3 linked regions of the Yarrowia lipolytica genome follow. The protein of the gene in region 1 interacts with the protein of each later gene in a biochemical or structural test. Links are inferred from orthologs where the notes say so. Each region holds a gene or a part of one and is shown on either strand. Other genes may lie near its edges.

Region 1 (3,726 bases):
ATATTCACACTATCTTTACAAGTAGCTAGTAGAGCTGCAAACATGCCCTTCTCAATCTATAATTGCCCACCTCATCATGATCCTAAGAAGGGATGTCCCTCATACAATTTAACTGTAAAACAAATGCTCTTACGCACGGCTATGCTTCTTACTGTATATACAACTCACTCATACTCGCACGGCTGTATCCATAATAGAATACAAGCCTGTCAGCTCAGTCTCAAGGTACGATACTGTACTGTCCCATTGTAGCTTCTATACAAAAGTATCCAAGTAAAGACACGCGTCTGACACATGCACTAGTTGTACTCATGCTGTCGAGACACCATGGAGAATGGCTACCGTACAAGCTTGGCCAGTAATCGTATCGGCACCACTACAATCGACGATACAATTTGCAGTACATGCCATGCCTACACTCCACGCAACCACTAATATGCCATGTAATCATTATAGAATCCTTCTCAAGTGTAATATCAATCTCGTTCATAGACCTTTCTCCTCCGTCTCCAATTATGCTCTAGTGGACATCATGAGCCCCGGACCTGCAGCAGCGTTATATCCACTCTTCATGTTGGTTCCCACGTCAAAGTAGGCGTGGTCGGCAGCCCGCTTGGCCGAGATTCGGCATGCAGGATCGTATGCCAGCAGATGCTCCAGCAGATCGAGACCCTCGTGATCCAATGGAGTCACTGTTCGACCAATGTCTTTGCGGCTCCACTGGGGGAATGTGGGCTTGTAGTCGGGAAGAGCTGTCACGCCGGGCCAGGTCTCCTCGGTGGGGGTGCCCAGCAGTCTGAAAATCTTGAAGATCTCGTCAATCTCCGAGTCTCCGGGGAACAGGGGCTTTCGGGTCACCATCTCGGCAAAGATACAGCCAATGGACCACATGTCCACACCAGTGGAGTATTGTCGACCTCCCAGAAGAATCTCAGGAGCTCGGTACCAAAGTGTGACAACCTCGTGGGTATAGGTTCTGAGAGGCACACCAAAGGCCCGGGCCAGACCAAAGTCGGCCAGCTTGAGGTTACCCTCCCGGTCGATGAGCAGGTTCTGGGGCTTGAGATCCCGATGCAGGATTCTGTGTGCGTGGCAGTATCGGGTTCCCAAAATGAGCTGGTTCATGAACTTCTTGACCATGTCGGCGCCGAGACCTACGCCGGGCGAAATGCTCTCCATGTACTTTTTGAGATCCAGGTCGAGGAACTCAAACACCAGGTAGAGCTTGTGTGAGTCGGAGTGGACAATGTTGTAGAGCGACACAATGTTGTCGTTTCGCATTTCCTTGAGCAGTGAGATTTCTCGAATGGCTGTGGAAGGCACTCCCTCGTCCTCGGCTTCCAGTCGGATCTTCTTCAAGGCCACCAAACGGTTATTGTTGAGAGTATCTCGTGCCTTGTATACCACTCCGTATGTTCCTGAGTTAGTACGAATAGATGCGGTGCTGTGGATTTTTCAGAACTGCTCGTGTAGACACGCGCCGTAACGTGTCATGAAGTTCTTCCTTGTATCTCGTCATGTGTGGGTCTTGTAGAGCTCACAGGCGCTTTTGCGATGCTCGAGGTAACGGGATGATGTAGACCTACACGAATACACCGTACTGTCCCAGAGTCATATCAACGCTCAACACCATGTGCCACACAACTAAGGTCTTCATCATCACACCCAAGTTCCTCCACAGCCTCTTCACAAGTCAACAAACACTCCAACCACACATCATACTGACAGCAGTGGCCGTAAACAAACCGCTCCAGTTGTACATCTCTGCGATCCCAAACAAGCATGCAACCGCTCCCGATACCCAAATACTCACCCTCTCCCACTTTCTCCAGCTTCTGGTAATGATTTAAGTCGACCATGGGTATCTGATAATGCTGCGTCACTTAACAATTTGCCATGTTGCAAACGTTTTGGTTTTGATGCACCCATCCCTTGCCCGTTGCGGGGGCAACCACTCCTCCCAACCCAAACCCAAACACTCAATCGGACACGGTCTCCTCCCAATAGGGAACCCAGCAACAACGCGTCATGTAAAAAGCTTGGTGTCTCCCTCCCAACTGAACCACGCTAACGCTCAAAACGTGAGCTGCCACATGCGGCTGCTAATTACAGTATTATGACACGGCTGTCCTTAGGATAAAAGAAACCAAGCGTGCGAGTGTACAAGTCATACTACTTATACTTATACTGTTACAGCCGAGTAAATAAGTGTATCACGCGATACAATTACGCCTGCGTATGGTGTCATGTGACTGCAAAAATCACATGATGTTATCATCATATGACCACGCGTCCCTCTTCACCTGTTTTCTATTGTTTGGTCGTTTACTGCGCTGTTTCATGCATGCTATAGCGTGGGTCTGAGATGTCAACCGCGAGACAAGGCCGCCAACAGGCAGGCACATGTACAATACGGTAAAGAGACCTAAACGCAGACTCCTACTTGTAGTGTGGCCAAAGAAAAAGCACTGCGCCTGTCTTCTGAGATCAGCCTACTTACTTACCCCTTGATCTTCGTATTCAAAGAAGATGATCAAGATGATCTTCGCGTTTTTTTGACTTCCAGATCAAAGGTCCATGGAACAGGAAGCGCGACCTAGTAGACTGAGGACGTGAAAAAGCTGTGATACTGATGTTCTCGAAGACTCCCTACAAGTTTTGTGCTGATTATTATCAACAGCGAGTCCACTCTACTACTCGTGCGTTCTACGGTACGTACCTTACTACAAGGATGTACTGGTATATTACTCATCTAATTATACTGTACACTCCATAGATATCCACCTATTACTGATTAAATATTACATAACACCCAGACTAGTTCTTGTTGGCAGCGTTGGCTACAGGGATACCGACACCCAGACCAACGGCGAGAGCCACAATGATGAAACAAATGAGCAGACACCACCACTTCTTCTTTCGGTAGGCTCGGGCCTTGATGACGGCCTTGTTGGTGTGCCCGAGACCCTGCTCGATATCTGTCTGCACGCCCTGGGTCTGGTTGTCAATGTGCTGCACAGGGGCCTCCTGCTCGGCCACAAGCAACTCCATGTCGTGGAACAGCTGGGCCAGCTCCGACATGGTCTGCTCGATCTTCTGGATCTCCTTGTGTCGGTTCTGAACCTCGGAAAGGGCCGTCTGAGCCTGTCCTCGTCGGTTGGACGTCATCAATGCTTGGGAGAAAATCTGCTCGCCCTGGGCGTCGTCAATGGCGGAACGCACCTCGGCGTCAGTGGCCTCGGGGCGCACAATTCGGTATTGCCGCTCAGCCCGCTCTCGGTATCGCTGTCGGAACGTGGCCTCGACGGTCTGGTACCGCTGGATGGAGTTCATGAATTGCCGCTTGAGGTTCTCGGCCTGTGTCTTTTTGGTAGAGTCTCTGGTGGATCGCGATTGCAGGGACTTGATCCGGTCCTTGAGAGACTGCGACAGAGAGGAGGTCTCGTCAACCAGCGACTCAATCTGCTCCCGTGTGTAGGCTTCCTGCTCCTCGCTAATTTCGTTGAGCGACCGCTTGTGCAGCGACTCGATGCTGTCAATGTTCTGGTCGTATTGCAGAATGCTCTTCTTGATTTCATCTACCTCCTCGAAAAAGTCCATCATGTCGCCCTGGGGGGCATTTGTTCGGCCATATGCGGGGGGTTCGTTGGTGGAGGTGGGGTTGAAGGACGTCTTGGAGTCCATGCCGTAGGGGTTGGACCCCACCGCGTCCATCTCGTACGAGTT
Region 2 (7,477 bases), on another chromosome or scaffold:
AGGGCACATTCCGAACATGCTCAACCATGCCGCGAGCCATTGATGATCGCCAAATCGCGCCCTGTATTCTGGCCTAATGATTTTGATTTGACTTTCTCCCTCCCCTCTGAGTCCCCTCCATTATCTCATACTCACTTCATTCGGGGGTTGATTTGGTTGTGTTTTTTTGCAGATGTGGTGATGAGATCAGTGTACTGCAGCATCATGCATATCGCTTAATAATATCAGACCTTGTATTTTTTTTTCGGCATATGAGACCGTGGGTTCGATTTGTGGTGAGGCTCTTCAACAAATTAGTTGAGTGTCAGATTAACAATATAACGGACGTCCACATGGAGACGTTGCACCTGTCCTGTCGACCCCATGAGAAACACCAAGAACATTTGCAATACTTGTACATCTACTTGTGTTAAACTCGCCCACAGCAGTTTATCAACCAATTTATGCATTATTATCTATTGTGCTTGCACCGTTGAATTGTTACTCATAGTACGCGTATCGCCATTGCCATCTCCACAGTTTGGCCTTACTCGTATTCGTCCACCCACTCCTTCTTCACCCTCGTCTGTCCCTTTGCCGGACTTCGATCCCTCACATACTTGCCGAGAAACATAATGGACGAGTCTCGCAAATCAGGGTACAAAGCTCCTCCAGTCGACCCGCTCTCGATGGAAGAGGTGAAAGACTCCGACTGAGGGACCTGGGAGGTGTCAACGGGATTTCGAGAGTACACCCGGGCACTCTTGGACGTCCGTCGTGCATGGGCACTCTCCAAAGACTTGCCGTCTTCTTCACCAAGCGCAACCTTACCCTGCAAAATACCAGCAAGATAGGAAAAGGACGAAAACTCGTCTTCGGCCGGGTTCTCGGAAGAAATAGGAGGAAGAGGAGGAGGATACTTGAACTGCGCCATGGAGGAAGACTTCATGTGTCGCAATTGGCGCGCAGAGTCGTCACGCGACGTACCGGGAGGCAGAATGTCTCGTGATGAACCAGCCAGAAAGTCCCGGGATGAGTCAACCATGAAATCACGGGACTCGTCCGAGTCGCGCGACGCCAGATAGTTTCGAGCCGCCTGCAGGTCCGACGTCGAGTCGGCCATAAAGTCGCGTGACTGGTCGTAGTACTGCGATTGGTCACGCGATTGAGCCTGCGACGGATACACACGAGATTGGTCACGTGACTCGGCCATGAAGTCCCGGCTCTCATCAAACCGCCGGGAGTCCTCAAACCGACGCGAGTCATTAAAGTCGCTACCACGTGACGACGACTCTTCACTCGAGTGGAACGAGGAAAACTCGCTGACGTCATCAACGCAGTCGGGGTCAGCTGCTGAAGACCGATTGGTCTTGATGAAATCAAACAGCTTCACGTCGTTGCGGGAGTCACGTGACGCGTGGGAAACGCTGGCGTCACGTGATTCGCCGCAGTCCAGGCTCTCCAGCGAGCTCATGTTTCGTCCATGGCCCCCACCCATTAGCTCCGAGTCGTACGAGTCGTTCCAGGTGTGTCTTTGGTTGGCCACATTGTCTTCAGACTCCGATCCAGAGTACGTGTAGTAGTGGGAATGTGATGTGGGTAATTGATGGTTGGAGTCGAACACTGGATGGCTGGGTTCCTTCTTGATTGGTCGAATTGAGCCGCTAGAGGTGATTCCTGGCTGGCTGGCTGATGTGTCTACGCCAGAAGAGTCAGTAACGACAATGGATCCTGTACCAACTACACCAGAAGCAGCGGGGGCGCCAAACACCCCGAGAGCATCCACTGGGTTGGTGGTGTTGTATCCTGAGGAGTTGGTCGTAGTGTTGTTGAACACAGCTCGAGTACTGGCGTCAGGGTAGACACCAGAGGTGGTACCATTAGTGGTGTTGGCATACACTCCCGTGGGATCGTAGATACCTGAAGAGGTGGTGTTTGCAGCGACCGAACTGGAATTGTAGCCAGAGCTTGAGTTGAAAGCTGACGTATCGTTTCCAGAGTAAATGGCGGTAGCTGTGGAGGGGGTTCTATCAGCATTCGGGACTGGTAGGGGTCGAGACACGGATCGGACACCGGATGCTGCACGTAACTCAGCCGCCCTCGGGTCTCCAGTGACACCTTGAATGCCGGAGAAGTTTCGGGTAGCTTCTGAAACTGCTCCGTAATCAGATGACACTGCCCTGGTAGCGTCAGAAACGCCAGATACGGCTCTATCGGCCCCGTGCGCCCCTGATTCACCGCCATAAGTGGATTCCGAGTTCACTCTCGGGTTATCCACGTCTCCATACCCGATATCATCCACCTCAGCACCATCCTCATCGTCACTGTTGGTCTGAATTCCACGCCGGAGAGCCGCAAACGACTTCTTGCGACGAACAACCTTGGGAGTGACATCGGGGTCGTTCTCAAGCGTTGGCCGAGGAGTCTCCGCCGCTCCAAACTTCCCACCGTCCATCTCAGGAGTCTTGGCAGAAATACCAAGACCATGCATCTCGCCCGTAGGAGGCACCACGGGCACAGGAGGGGGCACGTTGATCTTTTGGGGTACGTCAGGCACTCTACCGCTCTCAACCACATCTTCATCTTCATCTTCCTCTCTCAAACTGGGTGATCGCAACTTGCCCTTGAGTTTCATCCACATGCTGTCTTTCCGGTTGAGCTCGGGATTGGGACTGTTCTTGGGTGACTTGCCGAGCAGCGACAACACCGACTTTTTTGATTTCAACGAGGGAGATGCCTTGGTAGGAGCCTTGGCAGAAGGCTTCGCACTGGGCTTCGCACTCTTGACATCCTTGGCAGGGACAGGCGGCTTCGCGTGCACTCCCTGGACGGGCTTGCTCACGCCCGTAACCACCAGCGCCGCATCGTCAATCATGCTTTTGCTCTGCACGGGTTTGGTAGGCTTTGTGTGGGCCTGGCGCGTCGCAAAATCCATCAGCTGCTGTGCCACCATTTCGTTTCCCTGCACAATGCTCTCGACCATCTCGGGGTTGGCCGGAGACAGATACAGCGTGTACAGATTGGAGACCTCGGTGTTGATGAAGTTGGCGAGCGAGTCCAGACTCACCTGGCGGTCGAGGGTGTAGGCAAACTTGGAGTGCAGCGTCACATGGGCACTCTCGTTGGACAGCAGCGAGATGGAAAAGGCTGCGTCCAGCTCGTGGCGCTTTGTAAGTTCACGTGCGAGCTGCTTGCCATCGGACCCGTCCATGTTCAGAAAGATGGCAATGGGAGACTTTCGTTGCTCAGACAGATAGCCCTGCATTTCATGCACCGTCATAAACAGATTCAGACCGTGAGTCTTCTGGTGGTGAAAGAGATGGAACGGTTGTGTCTTCGACATGATCTTCGCCTTAGTGCAGAGCTCTACAATCTTGGGTGCAACCGGAGTCTTGAGGGTGAACAGTAGTGTCGTGGTGGAGCTTCCAGAACCTCCAGTGGCGTTCTCCAGGCTGTTGGGGACAATACCTTCGTTGCCATATTCGGCTGTGTTGAACCCTCCGACTGCAAACAGCGACAGGTTGTGGCCAAAGTTGTATTCGGAAGCAAAAACGTGTGATATGGGTGCCCAGAACTTGACTCTGAGAGGCGGAATTTGTGGTACGGCAACCTCGTTGATCAGCGAATGCATTAGCATGTCGGCGATGGACACCGAGTGGAAAGAAACACCCGACGCGATTCTTTTCTGCGCCTGTGTCTGAATCGTCGACGAGTATGAGGGCTCGACTTCCAGCAGAAGAATGTGATCGGTGAAGATGATGAGAATTGAGTCTTTTGAGGACGAAGGAGAGGAACCATTGTGTTGTTGTGTGTTACGCGATTCGGTTCGCATTTCACGCGTCTCAAACACACTCGTGACGTCGAAAATGCTCACAACTCTTCGGTTTATCCACCCGTACTGTAGCTCTCTCGGCCAGCCGGAGGCAAACTCAACGAGAATCTTACCAGTTGGTGTAAAGACTCGCTTGTCGTAGACCACGTGGTTTTCCACCCGCGCAAAACTCTCAATTGTGTTGACAGCCGCATGGTAGTACATCATGGTCGCATCATGCTTGTCGCCCCAGTTGCTGAGCTTTACAATACGATCCAGCAGCAGCTTGATCTTGGTGAGGTTTTGAGAAGCGGCCAGAACTGACTGGATCCGCTGCTGGGAGTAGGGAACTGGAGGCACAAAGCCAGACTCGGCAATCAGCGCAGAGTAGTCGCCATAGAGATCGGAAAAAGACCTCAGTGCAGCCTCGTGGCGCATGCACGGCTTGTAAAAGTAAGGAAGAGTCATTCCTGTGGCTCTGACGATTTCCGACGAGCCAAACGGCGTCGCAGCCTTGAGCGCGGTCTGGAATAGGTTGTGAATTCGAGCAATCTCGTCAATGGTGGGTGGGAAGATGGAATTCAACTTTGTCATGTTTAGCGAGGGGATGGCGCCATTGATGACCTGGATTCGCAGCGGAATGAGATACGACTGCAAAAACGAGATAAGCGCGTCGCGGAAATTGTTCTGGATGGTGATGAGCTCATAGCACACGGACGTGAGTGTAGCCGAATCGGAAAAGTTGGACGATGTGGGACTTGGTTCGCGACCGTTCTCGTCGTCCTCCTGGTCGACATCACCGCCAGCACCGCGTCTGTCTGTATCTTCGTCTCTAGGGGGCTCGTAAACCTCCTCAACACCCTCGGGCGAGTACTCACTCAGTGGGTCAAACAGCTGCTCGAGCTGCTCGCCAAGCAGGTACACGAGCCGGTTGTTATCCTCAATAGTCTCGTCGCTGTCTTCGTAGACGATATCCACCGCACTGGAACGCACAAACTTGGGTTCGACAACACCAGATTCTAATACCAGCTTACCAATCTCCTCGGGACCATGTCCATCCCCCACAACAAGCTGAGAGGCCGTTTTTCCTGCACATGTCTCATCGTAATCGTAGAGGAAGGACGTTTGGAGAGCGTTTTTGGCGAGATATGTACGGATGTTCTTGTCCATGGTGACATAGGCACGCAGGAGGGCGATACCTAGAGCGCGTGACACAGCCGAGGACTTGTCCTCGAGGTTTTTGACTGCGCCGTAGTATCGGCTCTTGTGGCTGAGGGTCATGTCGACGAACCCGGAAGCTCCGTGGCGCGAGATGATGACGCAGGAATGTGATTTGTCCGTTTTGTAAACGATGCCGAGAATAGGGCCGAATAGCGGGTCCGTGCCGACCATATAGACGGCGGTCGAGATGACGGACGGGTTTGTGTAGAGCTTTGAGTCGCATAGCGAGTTGCAATCGATGATGATCACATCTGCCGACGGGGTTGAGATGGGAAGGGAGAGACCTGGGTTAGCAAAGAAAGGAAGCAGAAGAGCAGCACGCGGGAAGGTGAACAGATTTGGCAGGATAAACGAGTCGGCTGCAAGAGTTGGTAGTTGTCCATGACACGTTTGTAACCGTTCAGCGCCAAGTTTGTATAATAGAACCGTTGTAATTGGCAGCAAGTTCACACAGTTGGCATTGCCATGAGCCCGCTCTCGGGGCGCTTTGATGATTGACTGCTCTGACACAACCCAAAAGAGGTTCGCTTGATATGCTGAGACGGTGACAAGTAGGTCATGCGTGCGAGTGGTGGAACTGGCAGCATTCTGATCGCGTTGGTGGGAACACCGGTATTGTGAGATTGAGGAAGACATGTAGAGACTGCGGGTTTGATAACTGTGATTTTGCCGGTCGCACTGTTCCCAAGACACGGTCCTTTTGGTATCCCGTAGAAAAAGATGGAGCCAGGTCATCTTTCAGAAATTGTAGCATTACGATCCATAACTTGGATCCAGAGCAAGACATTGACACGGTAAGAACACGCCACTCCAGTAGCATACCACACAAAAGGAAGCCGTGCACAAACCATGGACCTTATTAAACTGCTCAACATGACGAACAATCGCTTGCCAACTCGTTCCATCTTCATCCCACACCCCACCGTCTCAAATCACCAAACCCACCTTATCAGGTCCCGCCAAACCCGACATGCCGCGGGCTTCACTCATTTCTCTTCTCTTGTGGTTACTCACTCTCCTCCTTCATCTTCTCCTGATTCATTATCGCAGTCTCGTCACTACTTTTAGGCGTGCTGGGTGAGACTGAAACTCGCAACTAGTTCGTGACGCGTCTACACTGCTGCATTGGGGTTAGGGTAGAGCCCGCCAAGCGTCGTAAATGCGTCGTAAATGCACTTTGGCGTACGCAGAACGTTGGTGGGACGCCCGCGGATGGAGGTTTTGTCACGTGATTACCCTGATAACGTGACCAAACCTCCCAAAAACCCCCGTAAACGCGGTTTTATCCCTTCATCCGCGCGTCCCTCAACGTGTTATTGACAAACTCTATTCTGAATTTTCGCCTAGAGCAGGGTTAAAGACAGACATTTGGCGTGGTCTAAACCTGTTATGTAAGCCGGTAGGGTAATACCTGACTAATACGTTGATGAGAAATCCTCATTAATGATTAGAGGAACCAGCTTTGTCGCAGATGGATGGACTTTGTAGATATTTATCCACTGATCGAGAGTCTCTCTGGTGAATGGGTGAATGAGCGAGCCCACACCTTTCTGGTGAGTAACTCGTCATGCTGGGTAGACAGGCCTGTACGGGGACGCCATCGGCAACACTTCGCGTTGGGGTCTGGTGCTGGAGCATTTGCCACGTAGAGCGGGCTTGTCTGGGGGTTGCCGATTTTCACATTAGTATGTAAGGAACTTCTCGGGTATGGTCTCCTCGGCAGGGAGAATCCCATCAGTAGCCACTGCCAGTGGGGTTGATGTGTTTCCAAGTCGTCATTCAGGAACGAGTCCAAGGTATGTGCCACCAGTATACGCTTCGCCAGCCCGTTCCAAGCCTTTATCTCGAATGTCCATCCTGCCATCAGTTACAAAAGGATGGGAAGGACATTCCCCCGTCAACAGTCGCCGCGTCTCTGGTATCTAGAGTGGTGAAACCGATTCATTCGAGGTGTAGATGTCGTTCTTCGTATTGTTGGAAACAAGTCCGCCAGACTGGGGGATCAAAGAAGGGTTCTCAGAGTCAAAGGTTTGGACCATACGGGTTTCAAGAAGACCCAGATGACGTTCCATGTGGTCTGCAAGGGGTCGGCGTTCCAGGAAACGCGCAAATGGAGACTGGCAAACTCGGCCTTCAAGGAGATCCCAGACTAGGTAGTGCTTGCCATATTGGACATGGCCACACAGATCCCTATAAGCGCCGTCTCTTGCAGCTTAGTCCCGCTGAACATCAGGGTGCACACATAACACACCGATCCGAAAGTCGGAAGACGTGAGAGGTTCGGATGCGGTGAAACGTGATCATTGGTATGCGTGGTCTCAACCTCAATTCCTTCAGCTTCAGCATATCTGCGCAGGACAGTAAATTCTCCTCCTTGATCGAGGAGAATTCCGCGAGGCCCGCCGGCGTCTCGAAAGCATGATAGCCCACTCGAGAAACTTGGTGACGTACTTGCTCGGCTCGGTC
Region 3 (6,364 bases), on another chromosome or scaffold:
GGAAGCACGGCCAGCTCCAATCTCAAGGATCTCCCTTCTGACTTTGAGACCGACTCTGGAATCTCAGAAATCGACCCCGATAATGAGAAACAGATTGTTATCACTTTTGAGTCGGGCTCTGGAAGCCTTCCTCTCCATGTGGCCGCTATTCTCAAGACCCTGAAGACGCTTCCTAGGGTCAGGTGTGTTAATGATGACTCTGAAGCTGAGTGGCAGAAGATTGGAGAAAGGCTCGTCATCCAGACACCGCCCAAGAAGTGGAAGTTTGGCTACGGAGAAGCAGATATCCGAGATGCCAAGGAGCCGCAATTCTCGGATGGAGATCTGCTATCGCTAGAGTCATCAGACGCCTTCTCTTCAGATTGGAGTGCAGTAAGTGATGATAGCAAAGTGTAGTCTAACTAATTACGTAGTGAGTATAATCGTGAATGAAGACAGTGTTGATATATGTATTAGTTACAAGTAGCAGCAGCCAACCATAAGTAGACAAGTTGAGAATTAAATGAATGGAAATAATATATATTATCTAAAGACCCTCAAGAATGTTCTTCATGATAGGCCGGTTATCGATCAAGCGCTGGCTCAGGCCAACACGCTTTTGCTTCTTTCTAGGGGAAGTACCCTGTTTGACAATGCTGTACATCTTAGTACAGTCCTTTGGAAGCGAATACATCCATCCATTGTCATCGATCAGACGCAAGAACTCCTTGAGAAGATCAAACGACTCAAGGGTAGCTCGAGATCCAATGACAATGAGCTTGGATCGAGATCGCGTAAAGGCCACATTGAGCCGTCGCCAATCCTTGAGAAGATCACCGACTCGCTGCTCGTTGTTTGACCGCACGAGAGACACCACAATGCAGTCCTTGTCTCGGCCCTGGAACTTGTCTGCGGTCATAACTTCGATGCCACTTCGCAGGGCAAGCTCCTTGTTGATAAGTTTCAGCTGAGCTCTGTACTGCGAGATGCATCCAATCTGTGAGTCTTCAACGCCACACAGACAAAGAGCCTCCACAATCTGGCCCACTATGACAGCTTCAGTGGGGTTATGGATTCTATCGCCGGCAATAGTTTCCTGCGCAGGAACAAGATCCGTGTTGAGGAAGATAACCTTCCGCTTGGGATCCAGAACATGACCTAGATAGTCGCCATTGGGGAGTCCATCGGCGTACAAAGTACGCAGTTTGGAGAGCTGAGGAACAGCCAAAGATTGGTTGGCCACCTCGTCACTACCACACTTCAGCTTGCCATCATAGATCAGAGTGTTGGACAGCAACATGATATCAGCACACATTCGGTACTGAATACCCAGATTAACTACCTGGGTGGGATGTGCGTCACATAGCATCTTGAAAAGAGACTCTCGCAGTCCAGCAGCTTCCGGATTCTTGACAATGGGCGTCAGCTGGTAATGATCTCCAACAAGAACGAACTTGTCTGCATAGCGGATTGGACCGAGGCAGAAAGGAAGGGTGATTTGGGAGGCCTCATCAACAATGCAGTAATCGAAATGACGCTCCTGAAGAACCCAGTCTCCAATACCCAAGGCAGTTGCACCAACAACTGGAGGAGCAAGAAAAAGCTTCTCGAACTCTTCTCGGGTCTCGTAGTTCCGTCGGTTGTTGGCTGCGTAATGCTCCGCAACCTCAGGGTGAATTTTGGAGGTGCTTCCCAATCTCAGCATGTCGAAGTTACATGAAGGGTGCTGCATCAGCTTCAACAAAATGTTGTCGACAGCAGAATGAGTGAAACTACTCAGGAGAACAGTCTTTCCGTTCTTGACCAGCTCCATGATAATCTCAGCAATGGTGGTGGTCTTACCGGTTCCAGGCATTCCTAGTAGAAGACTGTAATCCTTTGAGTTCAGGATGTGGTGGACAGCCCTAGTCTGGTCGGAATTGAGTCGACCGAGTTTGACAGTGGGCTCTCCAGCAACAGGCTGAGGGGGTGCCAAATCAACAATCCATGAACGCAGTTGCTCGATCTTCTGGGGGCTCTCATCGGTACCGAGATGCTTGGCAAACAGAGAAAACAGGTTGTTACGGGCAACTCCCAGGCCAAAAGCGAAGTCGTCACGATCAACCCGAAACCTAAAATCTATGGGGGCTTCATGGCTCTGAGAACTGTGGGTCAGCATGCTCTGGAAAACCTGGTTGTCGTTGGATCTGAAACCCTGGAGTTTCTGCAGAGAGAACTCAAGTCGACGATCAAGAGCACATCGCACAGTCTCTGAAGACGAGCCAAGCAGAGTACCCATAGCCAAACAGTAATGACCAGCCTCATCAGAAATGACTACTCGGTCACCCGGCGAAATGTTGACAGATGCATAGGGGATCTCGCTTCCATCAGGAGACTTGAACGTGTACCACAATGAATTGGCATTCTTCTCCACGTTGTCAATAATAAGGCTTGAGAAACATCTCTGTTAGTAAAATTAAAGGCAGCATAATCTCATCAATACTCACCTCCCTTCCCTTTCTCTATCCTTGGACAGCATGGTCCACACCTCTCGTTTGAGCACTGCAGTATCACTTCCTTCCTTGGCCAGCAAGGCATCCCAGTGGTTAAAGAATTGAGAGTCCTTCTCAGTCACATGTTCGGTCTCCTGCAAGAATCTGGCCTTGTTGGCGGTCGCTCCACCATCTTCACCCATATACTCCTTCAAATACGTATCGTAGAGTCGGTAATAGACCATACATTCCGACTTCTGGAAACACCGGTCACACTGGCCTTGATCGTAGATAACGTCAGGCATGTCTCGAGACCCTTGTCGCATGAAGCTAGCAACCTCGTTTCGAATAGCAAGCAGGTTATGAATTTCGTCCTTGACAGCTGGAATGACAAGGGTCTCAGAGGTGGCAGAGTAATACAAAACTCCAAAGTTGATGGGACAAGTGTACCGATCATGCAACATGAGAGTGTACAGCGCCGTTTGCGACCGGTGGGGAATATGAGTTGTAGATTTTCCCGTCTTGACTTCCAGAGGAACCAAGTATCGGTGGTTTCCCTCCCGGACTTCAATGGTGGCATCGATCTTACCCTTGATTCCGTATCGCGGAGACCAGATCTCTTCTTCAACATCGACAACTTTGGTGATAGCAAGAGTTCTCTTCTTACCTGTTCGATTCTCAATCGCCACTGCAGAGGGAGTCTGACGCATATACTCTCTAAACCACTCCACAATGTTCGGTAGTCGGTCCTTGATTTTGGCAAACACAGAGTCAAAACTCTCACCAGAGAGCATGATGCCATCCATGTTTGCTTTGGTAACGGTCTCAGCACATGACTCCACAAACTCGGCGTCGTATCTCACAGCTCCAAAGCACATCTGGATGGTCTCGTGGATAATGACACCCAAGAGTGCAAAAATAGACCCGATTCCTCTCGGTCCCTGCATTTTGTCTTTCAGAACCACGTTTCGAGTGCACTGGTGGGCCTCAGCAACGGCTGTACAGGTCACCAGAGTGTCAGGATTCAGAATAAAAAGCATATCGCCCTTCATGTCGTCCACAATGTAGTCGAAATCCATCTCGAAATCGAGATCCATGTCGTCATTTGATGACTCATCGATCAAATGACAAATGTCTCCCACACAAGGTATTGCTCGCATCCAGCAACCTCGCAAAGCAACACGGTGTTGCTGGGCCTTGCTGTCCTCCACAACTAGAGCGATCTGAGTCGAACTTTCCTCCACTTCGACGATTCTGAACCGCAGAACATCGTCTCGTTTGTAGTCAATCTCCACGGGTAAGGCGTTTTCCTTGTGAGTTCGTTGAGACATAACATGGTCAGTGACGAGCTTATATCTCGATGTCTGAAGGCGCGGCTTCTTCTTGGCCCGAACCTGTGTGAATTCGAGTTCCAAATCACTATCAAAGTCTTCGTCCTCCAGGTCGTCAATGAATGACTTGACATCAACCTTCTTGACTTCAGTCAGGGGCCTAATATTAGACCCCATTGATGCTTTTGAAAGCTTAATGGGAGACCCACGCGTTTTTTTTAGGTCCTCAATGTCCTTCAAAACGTGGATATCAGTTTCCTTTTTAATGGTAGGTTGTGTTAACTTGACTTCCTTCTTTTTCTGGGTATGTTGGGTCAATGCAAAATCAATATCGTCGTCATCCAAGTCATCAAGGATATCAAGCTGACTACTCAAACCCTCGATGCTGGTGGTTATGGAAGGCTTCTCAGCTGTGGCCTTTGGCGGTGAAGATGACAACTTGTAAGACTCTTCTGGCTTTGGAGCGGGTGGACCTCTTGTTGGTGTAGTCTCTTCAAAGCGTCCGCTAATGTCCCTTCCCTTGGGCGTAGAGCACACCGCCTCCACGAACGGATCGTCTGCAATGACTGTCGTGTTGAGATCCAGGTTGTTGGTGAAGTTGCTTGTGGCGTTGGCATCTGAACCAGCCGAAGAAGCCTTTACCGTTGTGGAATTTGCCGCTGAGCTGGCGGCAGAGTTGTTGAATGATTCGGGTCGGTAGCGTCTCAGAAGGATTTCGGTTGGATCAAGGACCACTGGAATCGGAGGCTCGTCGCTCTGGTCAGGGATCACAATGTTCCTGTCTAGCGGGGAGAGAATGCAAGAAATGTGGCCATCACTGGACTCGTACTGTTCCGAACTGGGGATGTTTTCCCTTGGCCTTATGGGTGTGGCTGCCGACCAGTCGGAGGACGGGTCTTCGTCCTCTTCAGCAGCCGGTGACGGATCATCTTGGGGCACAGACCCCAGAAAATATCTCGACATGTTGTTTGGTGGCGTGGATCAGATCAATGTTGTGAGGTGTGTATGTTTTTCAATTTGTGTGTCACTGCGTGTCTGACGCGTCACGTCGACACGGTTAAGGTGGCGTTGCTTCAGATCTGGTGGGTTTCACAGAAGTCACCGTGAGAACATATGGGATCTGGAAGATGGAGAGATCCCTCCGGTACTCAGGGGACGACGCCACCCTGGGACATGTCCAACAGGGTTTGCTTCAATTCCTGAAGGAAGCCCAGATGTGTTTCTACGATGGACAACCGCCAGCACTTCACGATGAGCGAGAGTAGACACAGTAGCAAGCGTAAAAGGCGGCCGAGGCCACCGAGAGAACAGCGTAGCAGGGCGCGTAGTCACCACAGGGGACGCAGAACCAAACCAATGACGAAGAAGAACCACAAGGAGACATTTTCAAAGGCAATGCAAACGAAGAGGGCAATGGAAGGATTGAGATTAGAGAACTGGAGACTGGAGTGGCGTTTTCCCGATGAACGAACAAACACGCGAAGCTATGTGGACCAACATACAACACGGACTGAACCAGGTTTTTTTATGATTTTTTTACTGGAAATAGGTACGTGCCAAGTTGGACCATGACACTAAACGTGTTTAATTAGTAATATTCGTGTAAGCGTACATTCATTTCAAAGGTTATTCTTTCACAGCAAAGTTATAATTAAATGAATGTATATGCAGAAAAAAAAAAAAAACACAGTGACACGTGCAGTAAGATAGCAAGTGTAAGGAAAGTACTGTAAGTGATAAGATAGGGTGTCTATATATATATAGATATTGTACTAAATGCAATAAAGGTGTAAAATGCGATATTTGCACTCGGGATCGTGTTTGAGAGATCCGTGCTAACCCTAACCACATGAGTGGTATTACGCGTCTAAATTTGAAATTTGGTGAACATTGATGCTGTAGAGAAACAGAAGTCAAGTACAGTATGTATGAGCACAAGATTGTTAATGTGTAGGGTGTTTTCACATCGGGTATCAACTAAACTCAACTAAAGTCATATGGAAATAAACGGAATCATAAAAAAAACGAAAGAAATCTGCTACACTCGATACAGCAGTAATAATAAACGCACTTAGGAAGTTTCAAATGGTGAACACGTTAATGAATGACTTTCTCGTTACGTATCTGGAACATGGGATTGCTGTCCCTATTTTAATGATACAGTACATGGTCTAATTATCTTTAACAAAAGCTACTTGTATCTGGAAGGGATTTGTCTCTCTCTGTTTCCAAACAAAACTTGTAGATGGAAGCACTTCAGTTGAAGTTCAATGATGTTTTTCAACCTCTCTTTGACGAGCAAGAAATGACATTCTTAAGGTATTTTTCTTCGGCGAACTGACAGAATGTATTAAAAAAAAAGAGAATTATAATGTATATTTGTTGTTTCAAAACCCATTCCATCTCAATAGACCTGTCTCAACTGCCTCTACCGTACAGTACTTGTAGTGGCAGTGCGGGCCGTGATGCAACATGCACAGGTTGCTTCCTTACCCGCAAACGGGTTTCTAGAGGAGCCAAATAATATGACCAAGACATTCCAAGACAGGGGTCCAGGTGAGACAAATCCGCACTTGGACAAAC

What was found.
Region 2: of the proteins of YALI1_B14418g (region 1) and YALI1_C23359g, one has a biochemical effect on the other in vitro, tested with the Saccharomyces cerevisiae proteins (3 studies listed by BioGRID). The link is inferred for Yarrowia lipolytica from reciprocal best matches to the Saccharomyces cerevisiae genes CDC28 and BUD3.
Region 3: of the proteins of YALI1_B14418g (region 1) and YALI1_E39500t, one has a biochemical effect on the other in vitro, tested with the Saccharomyces cerevisiae proteins (2 studies listed by BioGRID). The link is inferred for Yarrowia lipolytica from reciprocal best matches to the Saccharomyces cerevisiae genes CDC28 and DNA2.

Annotation. Positions count from the first base shown.
Region 1 is NC_090771.1:1,440,400-1,444,125, forward strand, and holds YALI1_B14418g (uncharacterized protein), read right to left. Parts: upstream 1,860-3,726; coding exon 1,814-1,859; intron 1,419-1,813; coding exon 514-1,418; downstream 1-513. Other genes in the region: YALI1_B14441g (uncharacterized protein), read right to left, coding at 2,818-3,726. UniProt on the Saccharomyces cerevisiae protein: Cyclin-dependent kinase that acts as a master regulator of the mitotic and meiotic cell cycles. Required to drive the G1-S transition. More than 200 substrates have been identified. Substrate specificity is in part regulated by the bound cyclin protein.
Region 2 is NC_090772.1:2,334,261-2,341,737, reverse strand, and holds YALI1_C23359g (uncharacterized protein), read right to left. Parts: upstream 5,747-7,477; coding exon 527-5,746; downstream 1-526. Other genes in the region: YALI1_C23415g (uncharacterized protein), read right to left, coding at 136-140.
Region 3 is NC_090774.1:3,948,420-3,954,783, reverse strand, and holds YALI1_E39500t (uncharacterized protein), read right to left. Parts: upstream 4,745-6,364; coding exon 2,466-4,744; intron 2,421-2,465; coding exon 527-2,420; downstream 1-526. Other genes in the region: YALI1_E39553g (uncharacterized protein), read left to right, coding at 1-396. UniProt on the Saccharomyces cerevisiae protein: Key enzyme involved in DNA replication and DNA repair.